Linked DNA regions of Arabidopsis thaliana. The protein of the gene in region 1 interacts with the protein of each later gene in a pairwise test. Each region holds a gene or a part of one and is shown on either strand. Other genes may lie near its edges.

Evidence for each region.
Region 2: the proteins of GMII (region 1) and XYLT come close enough for resonance energy transfer, tested with the Arabidopsis thaliana proteins (one study listed by BioGRID).

The regions. Positions count from the first base shown.
Region 1 is NC_003076.8:4,836,463-4,843,992, forward strand, and holds GMII (golgi alpha-mannosidase II), read right to left. Parts: upstream 5,606-7,530; 5' UTR 5,331-5,605; coding exon 4,755-5,330; intron 4,459-4,754; coding exon 4,309-4,458; intron 4,182-4,308; coding exon 4,149-4,181; intron 3,785-4,148; coding exon 1,022-3,784; 3' UTR 609-1,021; downstream 1-608. Other genes in the region: DEL2 (DP-E2F-like 2), read left to right, coding at 7,504-7,530. UniProt on the Arabidopsis thaliana protein: Catalyzes the first committed step in the biosynthesis of complex N-glycans. It controls conversion of high mannose to complex N-glycans; the final hydrolytic step in the N-glycan maturation pathway.
Region 2 is NC_003076.8:22,480,162-22,485,275, reverse strand, and holds XYLT (beta-1,2-xylosyltransferase), read right to left. Parts: upstream 3,152-5,114; 5' UTR 2,891-3,151; coding exon 2,195-2,890; intron 1,959-2,194; coding exon 1,809-1,958; intron 1,618-1,808; coding exon 859-1,617; 3' UTR 645-858; downstream 1-644. Other genes in the region: GEX1 (gamete expressed protein 1), read left to right, coding at 4,205-4,683, 4,778-5,114. UniProt on the Arabidopsis thaliana protein: Glycosyltransferase involved in the xylosylation of N-glycans. Possesses beta-1,2-xylosyltransferase activity, transferring xylose from UDP-xylose to the core beta-linked mannose of N-glycans. Involved in the biosynthesis of glycoprotein bound N-glycans.

The DNA.
Region 1 (7,530 bases):
AATAACATTTAATCAATGATATCCAATTTATCTAGATTAGCTTAGCTAGTAACAGAATCATATGAATCTAGGTGTCTTTTATTTACTCGTAACTCACTCACTTAAATTATTTAATCAAAATTAACTTTGGTACGCCGACAACACAACACTAGTTCCAAAGATAGTAGACTACTAGCTTTGGTCCGTATTTTTGTGTTTCTGCAACAAAAATATAAGCACTAACGTAATTACAAAAGATCAATTTTCTTTTGGCAACAGTTACATATGACCCTATGTTATGAGAAATGACAAAGTATGTGTCTAGATTTTCGAGTTATAAAGGTTATTAAAAAATTAGTGGTAGAACAACGTTACATGAGAGTAAAGGTTATAATTTGCCATACCACCATGACTATTAGTTATACCTTTTCTCCTTTTTGGTTTCTTTCATAAAAAGAAAGATACAATATTTTTGGTGTCACTAGAGACTAATCCCCTCGTAGCTTACCTACATCAATTAACATTCGAGGATCCACTATCCAGTATCCACCACAGTTCGTTTCATGCACGATCCAATCATATAACAAATTCTGGTCACAAGTAACCTCTTAGGCTTTTTCTTTCTTCTTTTGCATTGCAAAAACGTACTTAAAAGATGAAAAATTTCCACAAGCTTCATAGATAAATTTGAAGTTAGAGAATAAGGAGTTAGGACCATATCTTTTGCACTCCAATTCAATCGAATGTGTATAACATATAGTTTATATACACACAACATAATAATCCCAGGCAAAATGGTAAAACTAATTAATATAACTTGTCTCAAAAAGAACCGGCCAAAAAAAACTAATGCCTTACAGTAGTTTTACATGGACACAGAGATGCTCCAGCTTCTACTCTCTCTTTTTGACAGTTCATGTTCCCGGCACAGCTTTTGTGAACAAGAAGAAGCCGATTCTGAGCCCAACCTCTTATAGTCAACGATCGTTTGAGGCCATACCAGCCAATAAATAGTCAACGTTCAGTCTTAAGTGTGTGTATTTCACTTGTGAGGTCGCAGTTCAAGCTTATAAGCTCGTATTTCCATGGGAGAGATCGAGACACGTCCTTCCCGTGGCTGTGAACTATCTCGAGGTAGCTCTTGGTCATCGTACCCAAGAATCTCCATATCTTCTTGCAAGAGATTCAGTGAAGTTGGTTTTACCTTTGAAGCTGCAAGATCTTTGAACATGTCGGAAAAGTTTACTGGTTCATTAGCCATGCTTGTGCAGTTTACTTGTCTTCCTTTATGGCAATAAGCTGAATCCCAAGCTCGTCTATTGAGGATAAGAGCGAACCTTGGCTTGTCTTCTTCCAATTGCTGAGAGTATTTGGATGGACGAGGAACCTTGAAATTTACAATGTGGAGGTCACATGGTAACGGTTTGGCTAAAGGAGCAAAGGAACCGTATTGTGGAACACGCACAGATATGTCTTGCGGTTTCTTGGCAATGAATGTGTTTATGGGGTAGTTTAAGTGAGCACCTATGAGGTGAGAGAGAAGCGAAGGGTTCCTCGGGTTAGTGTTGGAAGCAGGGTCTGCTTGAGAAATGTTAGATTCCGCAAGAAGGTGAAATACCACGGTCATTGCGCGGTTATCCATCACACCTTGCCCTAGACCCCGTCCGTCATCACGAACCAACCGTCTGTCCAGCATAATCTCCAACCAACCCTCTTTGAGGCTTGCAACACCGAGAGATTGACGAGAGTGCACGGAGAATCTCTGACCATTGGATCCTTGGATAAATGCGAGAGATGGCATTGGGTAGTAGTTTCCTTGAAGAGGGATCTTATCATAAGTTTCTCTCCTGCTCATTTGGAAACCATTGAGATCTGAATAGAAGACCTTCTTGTTGTCAACATCAGTCTTGTACCGGACAATCAATTCCCGGTCATCAAAATCATTACCAAGAAGCTCAACATGATATTCTATCTCGACCACTTGATCCTGAAGCGTATTACCTCCAGTGTAAAGACGAGTTTTCTGAGAGAGGGGTGATTTCTCCCATTTGGTTTTAGGGTAAGAGAAGACTTCTTGAACCAGCAGACCCTCAGAGGTGACTACATGTCCATCAGGTTGAACAATTGGCTGAGCTTCACCATCTGGTTTGAACAGGTAAGCTCCACTCTCTGGACTAGAGTACATACCTATCTCTTCTCCCACAACAGTCTCTGATCCGTTTCTATGGACTATCTTCCGCAGTGATCCGTTCTTCACATCAAACACAAGAGTCTGATGTTCATTTCGGATCTCAGTAACGTCGTTGTCCAGTTTGGAGCAGGAATATGGAGGAGGACAAGGAAATGGGTCAAACTCAGAAGCGTATTTGAGTTTAGACGGAGTAGCTTTCTCACACTCGACATTCCCATTAGCAATGAAATATGTTCTCAGACCAAGAGCTGGGATGGAAGCTTTCCAGTAAAGGCGATGTCTGCCGGTGAATAGTTTGGTATCGTCATGCTGCACTTCAGGAGAAATTTGGCTAGGGACACAAGTCCAGTTTGAGTCCAAAACCGAGATTTCAGCGCGGTTAACAACAACCGTCACCACCTCCTCTCTCGTCTGTTCTGATGGATTGAAGAGTATAACTGTGTGCGAATTTCCTTCCCGGGCAGCAATTGGCTTGTGAACTGGCCGAGCATCATACTTTGATCTCATTTGCTCTGCCTCGAAAAATGATGGGGATTGATCAGATTTTTCTTTCTCGTGGCGGATCCCAAGAAGAACTTCGATTGCTTTAGACATAAAGATCTGAAGGTCTTGCAATGAAGTATGCATCCGGGTGCCGTAATCTTGTACCACATAATCCTTAGCAGTTCCAGTTACCCCATCATGGTGCTGGAAAAGAGCCAGATTTCTTCTTGCAGCAGTCAACTTATACGTAAAACTTGTTGGAAATTTCTCACATTGAATTCGATGGCAATAACCTAGCAGAAATGACATCATGATCTCAGCTCCACGAAGGGTATGCTCGAGCACACGATCAACAGCTTTGAAGAAAGGTCTTGAAACATAATAACCACTCCAATAGTCTTGTTGCCTATCTGCATATGTAAAGAAGTCACCTGACAGAGAAGGGAAACCAACAACCTGACCAGAGCCAACCTCACCAGGACGAGAATAATTCACTCTGTCTGCTTCTTCTCGGACTGTTCTGAAATAATCCTCCAAAGTACCAAACTTTGCTTCTGCGTTTAGACTAGGATTAGAGTTGATGTGATCAAACAACATCTGGTAGTTACGGAACTGAGCCTCGGCTTCATCGATACTAATGTACCTAAAATCATCTCCAAGAGGTATAAGAAGTGTATTAGTTCGATATAGAGTGGATTTTTTCCTGTATTGATCCAGAAGCTTTAATGCCCTCTCCTGCACATTTTCTAGTGTGGTCTCCACTGGGTGCTTTCCCCATGGACAAAGTTCATACTTAAATCCCCGCATCCGAGCGAAATCAAACTGACAGCAAATTGCAGGCTCTGGTCCACAAGTGTGTGGGATATCGTATGAATAAAACGGCATCATATGAACAAAGATATCTGTGGTTTCCATAGCATCCCAGCTCTGACGCCAAATATATTCAAGATTCTTATGCTGGGCAAGGTCTTTCTTGAGCTCGTAATGAGTCCTTTGAATAAGCATGTTTTCAAAACCCATACGCCGGAGAAGATAAGCCATGGTTGATGAATAGCCAAAGGGATCTATAGCCCAAGAATTCTTAGGAATAACCCCAATTGTGTCATTCAGCCACATATTACCCTCTGCTATCTGCAGAAGAAGTGATCCAGTACAAAATCAGTATAAAAAGGAAAGAAACACAATGCAACAAGGGGCTAGTTAACTAGCATTATGACTAGCCAAATGACATTCTAACATCACACGTTCTATGCATAACCAAAAAAAGAGAGGTTTCACTTTTCAGATCAAAAGAGGTCTCAGGGGATGTCGAACTATAACCAACCATAAGTGACATAATAAATAGAAACCTAGCAGAAACAGAAACATTAAATGAAAATGCAGTAATCATCGTCATCATCTTTGTTTCAGTAAGAATTAAAATTCCTAAAAGCAAACAGGAGTAGACAAATAAAGTGCCTAGAAAAACTGGAAAGTCAAGCGTTGATGTACATACCTGTTCAATTATGGCAAAATAATGTGAATTAGCCTGCAGGGAACATTAAGAAGAAAACTTTAGCACATACAATCTCAATCAAAACAATCAGCAGAAGAATGGCATGGGACTAAAAAAACAATTTATTTATTTACAACCAAACAACAAGTAAGAAACATACCTCATCATTCATAACCCAGCCACCTCCAACAATCTCTAGCTGCCCATCCTTAACCAATTTAGTCAAAGCTTCTTGTTTATTAGGTGAAGCGTCTCTCCACCATCTCTCCAGATATGACATCTCCTCCCATATAAACTTTCTTCTTGAATCCTATTAAACATATTCAAAACAAACCCCCACACAAATAAGATTCTAGCTATCCTTCAATCTCAAAACCCAGTAATAAAAAAACAAACTTTAGCTCCAAAGACTTCAAATTTTCCAAAAGAACGAACTTCTAGAACTCTGTTTCATCACGAAACTAAAAAAAAACAGAACCCAGCAAAGAAGTTTGGTTATAGAGTTTAATGACGTCATGAGAATTTTAAGACATTTAAGATTGTTCACGGGATAACCATGGGAGAGAATTAAAATATTAAAACCAAAAGCAAAAACTTTCGTCATACCTTAGATAAAGTCTCAACAATGGTGTCAAGAATATGTCTGGATTGTCTCTGATAATACTCCTCTACAGTCAATTTCCAACCAGGATCGTTATGAGAATGAGGAACAACGAAGATTTTGAGCTTCTCTTTCTCCCACTCATCGTCTTTATACGTAACTCTCCAACCTTGTTTCCATGGACCACCATCTGTATCAAGAAACTCAATCCTATCGTATAGATCTTTAGTTGTGATATCAACGACGGCGCCTGAATTGGAATCGTTTAAGGGTCGGCGATTAATATTCTTCCGTGGCTTGACGATCCGATTGGATCTGGAGGTAAGGAATCGTGAGGAGATCGGTCCTGGTACGCCGAAGTGGAAGAGAGTGAGGAGGAAGAAGAGGAGTGAGACGGTGAGTGCGATGACGAAGAAGTTGGCGAAGATGAAATTGACTACGAGAGTTCGTTTTCGTGGTTTTCGATTGATCGCTAGTTTTGACTTTGATAACGCTGTTGGAAGAAGAGATTGGCCCCAACCGCCGGTTCCTCCGCCGGTGGAGCTACGGCGGCTGTTGCCGATATACGAGGAGAACGGCATATTCTCCTCCTCGGAATTTCCTTTTTCTTTTCTATCTAACGAATTAAACCTACGTCGTTTCGAGTTGTCTTCTTTTTTCTTTCTTACTTGTGTTCTGCTCTGAGATTTATGTAAGCGGATGATGGTCTTTTAGATTCGATGGACTTTTCTTCCGAATCCTGTTTGGTTTTTTGTTTTTTTAAGGGAAAGTAAATGCCAGTGGGTGTTATGGTCTTTTCGACATACGCTACTTTTTTTTAAGGCCCAAGTTGGTGAGTAACTTTTTTTGGGGTCGGTTACTGTTGTGGAGTAAGTCTAGTATCTTTACTGGTTTAGATTATTATTAGATAACCCTAAGGTCAGTTTTATAATTATAATTATTATTATATTTAAGAGTTTAATATTTGTATGGTATCATTAGAAAATAGGAAAATTATTAATCATCAAATCTTTGAAAGACTAATGATAAAATTTATTATCTTATAGTATAACTAAATTTTGACTTTTTGTTTCAAAATATTTATAAATGCAGATTTCTACGTTAAAGGTCTAAAAAAACAATTTCTGCAAAAGTCCTAGCTAGATGATCACGTTTTACATACAACTAAAACATCATTAGAACATGTGTATTGCATTGTAGGTCGGTATTGCACGGTATTATTTTATTAGTTTAGTTATGAGAAAACACTTACAATAAAGTTTGTAATTTTGTGATAAATGTAAACTAAAGTATCACTTTTCTATGTTTAGTCAGGAAATTGTTTTGCAAAAATACTCTCCAATATCATGCAAAACATAAGTGATTTCTAAAGCTATATTTTCCTAACAATATTCTCCATGCCGTTGTCTCTTGTCTCATTTGTTCCTTTCATTTGATCGGATCTCAACTACAAGAACATATTAAACTAACTTCCAACACACTGATCGAAAGAGTTTTTGACATTTTTGTTACGTTTTGACGGAATACTACAGTTTTCCACATGTGGATCGCTTGCATAAGACAAAGTTTTGATGGCTTTCACTCGTTCAAAACTATGTGAGACTGAATTATCAGCCAAAAAATCATCAACGTTTACACAAACATAAAATTTAGCATGAGGAACGGGTTTTCCATGTTTCGACAACATGACTTATTGAAAGATAATAGGCAAAATGTTTCCACCATAAAGGGTGGTGCAAGAAAACTTATATTGCTCTTACGGTGAAACCCTAGAACGGCTCAATAAAAGATCTTACCATTTTAACTATTTGAGTTTCTCTTTCGAGGAATAAGAGCCAAATATCCTATCTAAACTTCGGGAACACGATATATTATTTAGAAAGATAAAGCATTTACATAAAACGGTTAAATTTTATACGAAAGTCCTACATGTACACTAATAAAGGGTTGAAAGTCTAAACATTTTTAATGCATATTAACCATTGAAGTTTAAACCGCTGATCAATAACGATGAATTTGATACGTCATGTTAATGAGAAACTTTTCCGCTTCATTGCTTTACTTGCTAAAATCTTTATTCTGAGGAAATATATCAATCTCGTGTTCATATGAATAAATGTGTGACTCATATCATAAAATCCTTTTTAAGTATAAATAAAAAGCGCGTTCTATAGACACACGTAATATTTTTTTTTGAACAATGAATGATGGAAATATCAAATAAGTAACAAAAAGCTCAAGGTATAAAGACACATAAGTTTTTTTTCCAAAAAACTAATGATAGAAATAAGTAACAAAAACGTGAGCTACAGAGACACGTTATATTTTTTTTTGAAAAACTAATGATAGAAAGTATTATCAACATGTAAAAAGAAACCTTATCGAATGGATATCATAAAAAGGACAATAACAACCAAATCTTTTTGCTATAAAATTATGATTACATGATTATTAACATGTTTAAAACCTCTAATTACATAAATATATACACTAAATATTTACAAATTAATTTAAAAGTAATACCTATTAAAGAAAAGTAAAAAATCAAAAAGCAAAGTGTAAAATTAGACAATAACATTTAACCCCGGGAAAACAAGTGATAGTATTTCCTAATTTGAAAAGACCCCGCCTATAATTATAAAAGGTTTCCGAGGTCACAACAAAGCTCAGATCCAAACACAAGTCTTGTCTCTCTTTCTCTCGCAGGTCACCGAGAAAATATCTTTTGTTGTCTCCACCCACCCCACCCAGGTTATGGATTCTCTCGCTCTCGCTCCCCAG
Region 2 (5,114 bases), about 18 Mb from region 1:
GTTTCAAACGACGTCAGTTTGAAGATTCCGACGTTTTTTTTTTTTTTATACAGCCGCGTTGTAGTATTACAATTGGTATTGATTTGGTTGAAGTGATTTTTGTAGCTTATACCATTTTTTTAAAAAATTATAATTTTCATCATTAATAAAGTTTAATCACATCTCGAGTTTTCAATGATATACTGCGATCGTGTGAGTCGTTGATCCTACTTTAAGTTAAAGAATTTTCAATTATTATATCTTTACTAAGGTAAATCGGTTTGAATTATACATATTAGATATTTAGATTAATGAAATATGAGTAGAAAATGAAATTTCCAATTTGTCTCAAATTAAATTTTACGTCGCTCTTTTTCTTGGCAATAAATGTTTCGTTGAATTTGTTTTTTATAAATCTGATTTATATAAAACTAAATTGAATCAGTACACATATGGGGATGTAGCTCAGATGGTAGAGCGCTCGCTTAGCATGCGAGAGGTACGGGGATCGATACCCCGCATCTCCATTATTTTTATTGTCCTCTTTATTGATTTTTTCTTTCGACAGCTACTATTTTATTTACTAGAAGAAACACGTCAGGGAAAGTCTCTGTTTTGACATATACATTATCACCTTTGTTCATCCACTATGCAAATACCATTTTGGCATTTTCCTTTTAAAAAGGAATTGTAAAATAATAATAGATAAGATAACCATTAGAAATCATGTTTAGTACAAAAAATAAAAGCCAAATTTACATCATTAACCAAATCGAAAAAATGATACAAAAATACAAGGTATCAAAATATGACAAACTCACCGGTCACCGGAGATTAGAACTCACTCACTATCCTAAATTCTTGTTTTTTCTTTTGTCTTTAGCAGCCAAGGCTCTTCATGATCTCCGTTAACTTCTCAATCACAGCCGTTGGTTCCGCTCGTGAGTTCGCCAGATGCATCGCGTGATACTCCAATCCTTTCCACTTAGCTATAAGCTCGAAATGAGGTCTCTGAAACTCGACGCTTATTATCTCAAATATCGTTGTGTTTGGTGTTGCAGAGACAATGTGAGTCAGTCCTGCTCCATGAGCTCCTATGATCACTGAAGCATCTTGAATGGCTCGGACTTGATCTTTCATTGACATGTGTGCAAGCAAGCCATTCACAAGGTTAATCCCGCATTTGGTCAGACCGGTGGACCCAGTTGCAACCCAATGATGCAACGAGTCGAACACTTCTTCCTCATTGATGAGCCGAGACTGGACTTTACCGCCATGACGAGGATGGGCTAAGTAATCTTCACGGCGGACAAAAAGAACATTATAAACTGAGGCTGATGATGATGATGATGATAGCGGCTTTTCTAATGAGCGGTGTCTATTGACAGGCAACCCGAAAGCTGCTCTGATCATTTCACCAAACTCTGATATCCTCGCAGTCCTTTTATCGTCCGGGTTTTGCCACAGATTGTGAGCTGAATCTCCCTTGCAGTCTATTTCTCCGGACAAGCCTTTAAAAAGAGCGGTTTCGTATCCCAATGGTGAAAGAATCGCGTGGCGGAAACAAACCGGTTTGGTGAAGTTCTTTGCGTATCTGATTCCGGAAAACAAAGCTGTCCATGTTTCTTCTAGCTGCGTCTGCAAAAAGATTCACAACATGGATATGAAACTCATACAAGATTCAATTTTATTCATCAAAGGAGGGAAACTAAAACCATAAACACGCAAGAAATCCAAATCCTATAACGAAGAGTAACTAACTACAAGTCTAAACTGGACTTTCCCTGCTCATATAAGGATCATGACCATGAACAAGAAGAGGAGCATACCGTGCAGTGTCCGTCAACGAAAACAACGTGAGGTCGATTAGGCAAACCGGTGACTCTAGACGAAACATAGGCACTATACCAATCTGTCACAGTATGGAAGAGATTTGCGTACTCGAATCTAGTGACAAGCAAGGTCGGTTCCTCCACCCACTGCAGCCAAACAAAAAGCAAACCAAACATCAAACCAACAAGATATAACCACCACACATAACTACATAGTCTTCCAAGAATCTCACACAACCACAACCTAATTAATATGAACAATGTAAAGCTCAAAATCAGTGATTCATTGCTGCATATGTTGAATGAAAAGTCTCCAATTATGCAATCTTTTCACCAAAACACAATCTTCAAATCCACCAGATCAATGAGTAAAATGCACAAACCTCTTCACAAACGAAATCATTGGTATCAACAGCACGAATCGAAGCAACCAAATCTCTCATTGTATGTCTATCAATTCCACCTTCTTGCATATATTCATTCAACATCTCATCATTCACCAGCCGCCGAGAAACCGCACTACCTCCTTCTCCTCCACCAAAACGACGGTGTCTCTTAAAACCTAACCGTGAAGAAACCTCTTCCGCTACCTCAAACGCACCTTGTCGAAACGCAGGAAGCTCCTCCTCCTCTTTCCTCCCCATAACTTCCTCTAACTTCTCACCTCCTCTCGACATAACAATCCGATCCGGAACCATTCTCAGATTCCTTCCTTCACAAATCGAACTCTGTAATGTCTCACTGTAAAAACATCGGAACCAGCTTCCTTCTCCTCCTCCTCCAATCCTCGGCTTAAGGAAGTCAACTCTCTTTGTAAATCCATTCCCGAAGTAACCTTCGCAGGAGCCAGTTGGTAGATTCCTCTGCGGCGGCGTCCATGGGAGGTAAGAAGGTAAGATCGGCCACGGTTTCTGAATCGCCGATTGGTTATTCACTGAAACGTGGTATATATGAGGAGGCTGTGACTGCTCCGGTGAAAACGACGATGAGTGAAAAACGAAGTAGATGATGAGAAAGAGAGAGTTGAGAAGTAACATATACAGAAAAATCTTCAGAATCTTCGGATTCCGTTTACTCATCTCTCTCTCTCGTCTCTCGTTCCCTTGATTTGCGGTTTTGAAGAGAGAGCGAGAATTTGAAACTCTTTCTATTTTTAGTTTTCCATCGATTTCTTCTCTCTCGATTCTGAAGTGAAGTCAATCGCCGGTGAAAGGTACAGAAGATTCAGGCGAGACTTCATCGGCTGTTTCGCCGGAAAATTGTTCTTCAATAAGATGAATCGGAATTTTGAGAGTCTGCAGATTTATTAAAGCTGAAGATTCCATCATTCCTCTCTGTGTATTGTTTGGCATTTTGCTTTTGACTAAAAAATTCTTATACCAATGAACCAAATACAATTAAACCGAACCGAAAATAAATTAATCACATAACCAAAATCAAATTAAACCGGGAAGTAAACCAAACGTTCCCGAAACGTTTCCATCTTTTTGTCAAACACGTTCGTTACTTTATAATTTGCATTTCTCACTTTCCTCATAATCACCGACTCAAAAACAATCTCCAATTCTTCTGTTTTCTGGTAAGCTTTGTGTTTTTTTTTTGTATCACTGTATTCTCATTCTTTAATTTATTGGTTTGAAACTTATGTTAAAGTAAGTGTTTTGTTTAGATTCATCATTCATTCATGCAAATATTTTTTTGAGAAAATTATTCTTTAGAATTGAAATTGTTTTTCGTGTTTATTTTTGGTACTTTAGTTTGTTTTGCCTCTCTGTTATGAAATTGACTGACAAAAACGTAGAGATTCTTCTCTGATTCGAAGTCATATAACTATTTTTAGTTTTTTTTTTGTTCTTATATGTTTTTCTCCCAATATCGATCTTGAAGTTAACCTTGTCGTGTAATTTTCTTGTTCTCTTTTACGATAAAATTTGGATTGTACTTTTTTCTGTGATTTTTTCAGACTATTTTTCGATATTGTTTCTTAGTAATAATGGTTTTTGGTTTATCTTTATTGATACGACTTCAAATGCATGTATTAATCTCAGAAAACGAAAAACAAAGTGGATACAGATTCTTCCTTATTTTAGAAAGATTGTTTTCTGAAGATTTTAATGAGATTTATTTTCTTCTTTTTAAATCTGCAACTTGATTTGCCAATAATCTTTTTTTTTATAAACTTTATGAACTTTATTTATGACGATGATACCAAAAAAAGAAAAAACTTCCATTTATCTAATTGGAAGTTCAAGGGGCTTCCTTTTCTTGCGCTCCAAGTTTTCTGTTATATAAACAACAACATTCTCAGAATGTAATGTTCTGTCTCTTTTGTTTGTTCGTAGGTGATCAATCACAAGGCTCCTCGAGAAGAAGAAGATCTCAAATCCGATTAAATGGATCGTTTCAGCAGAAAATGTCTTCTGTTTCTTCTATTGATCATACTTTTAGATTCTCCATTAACATGCCACAGTTGGGGATGGTTCTCTTCTTCTTCTTCCTCAGCAGAAGATCCATACTCTTCTTCTTTTTCTCGGTCTCGCAAATCCAACCCCGACTTCTCCATGGAAGTTTTCAGTGATCAGAAGGCGGTTCAAGTCCTTGAAAACAAGCTTGTTGGTCTAACCAGTTGCTGGCAAAATGCTTATAGTTACCTCTTGGCTGGCTGCAAAGAAACGATTGCTACAGAAGAAAAGAGAAAGAGATTTGCTTGGTATTTGAGCGATTGCTTCATCAAAGACTCGGGAAGACCGGCGTTTCCAACCTGTAAAGATGAATCAGTAATGATGAGTTGCCTCAAGAAGCTTGATGATCATGAGCATAAGATCTATCTCGATTTCTTGCTTGAAACCAACACCATCTGCCAACAATTACAGTAAGAAAAACAATTTACCATGAATATTTTTCTAGCTGTTATTACTTTTGTTTGCCAAAATGGATTCTCAATTTGCTTCTTTTTGGTATGGCAGGAGTAATGCGTTCAAAAATGAGATAGAGAGGCTTGTGAATGAGCTCAAGAATACAGCTCAGTATACAGAAGATAAATTGGATATCTTGGAGAGTAAATCTGATGCTTTAATACAGACCTCAAGCATGATTCATGATTCTTTAGGGTCACTAGATGTTCGGGTTCAAAACGTGGCTAGTGTGACAAACACCTTAGAAACTAGTGTGAGTGGATTATCTCAACAAACAGTAGAAATCTCTCAAGAACAGAAGAACATTGCAGAATCACAGCTAGCTCTCAGGGACGGTCAAGTAAAGATGAAAGAAACGTTGAAAGATGGAATGGACATGTTCCTCGAT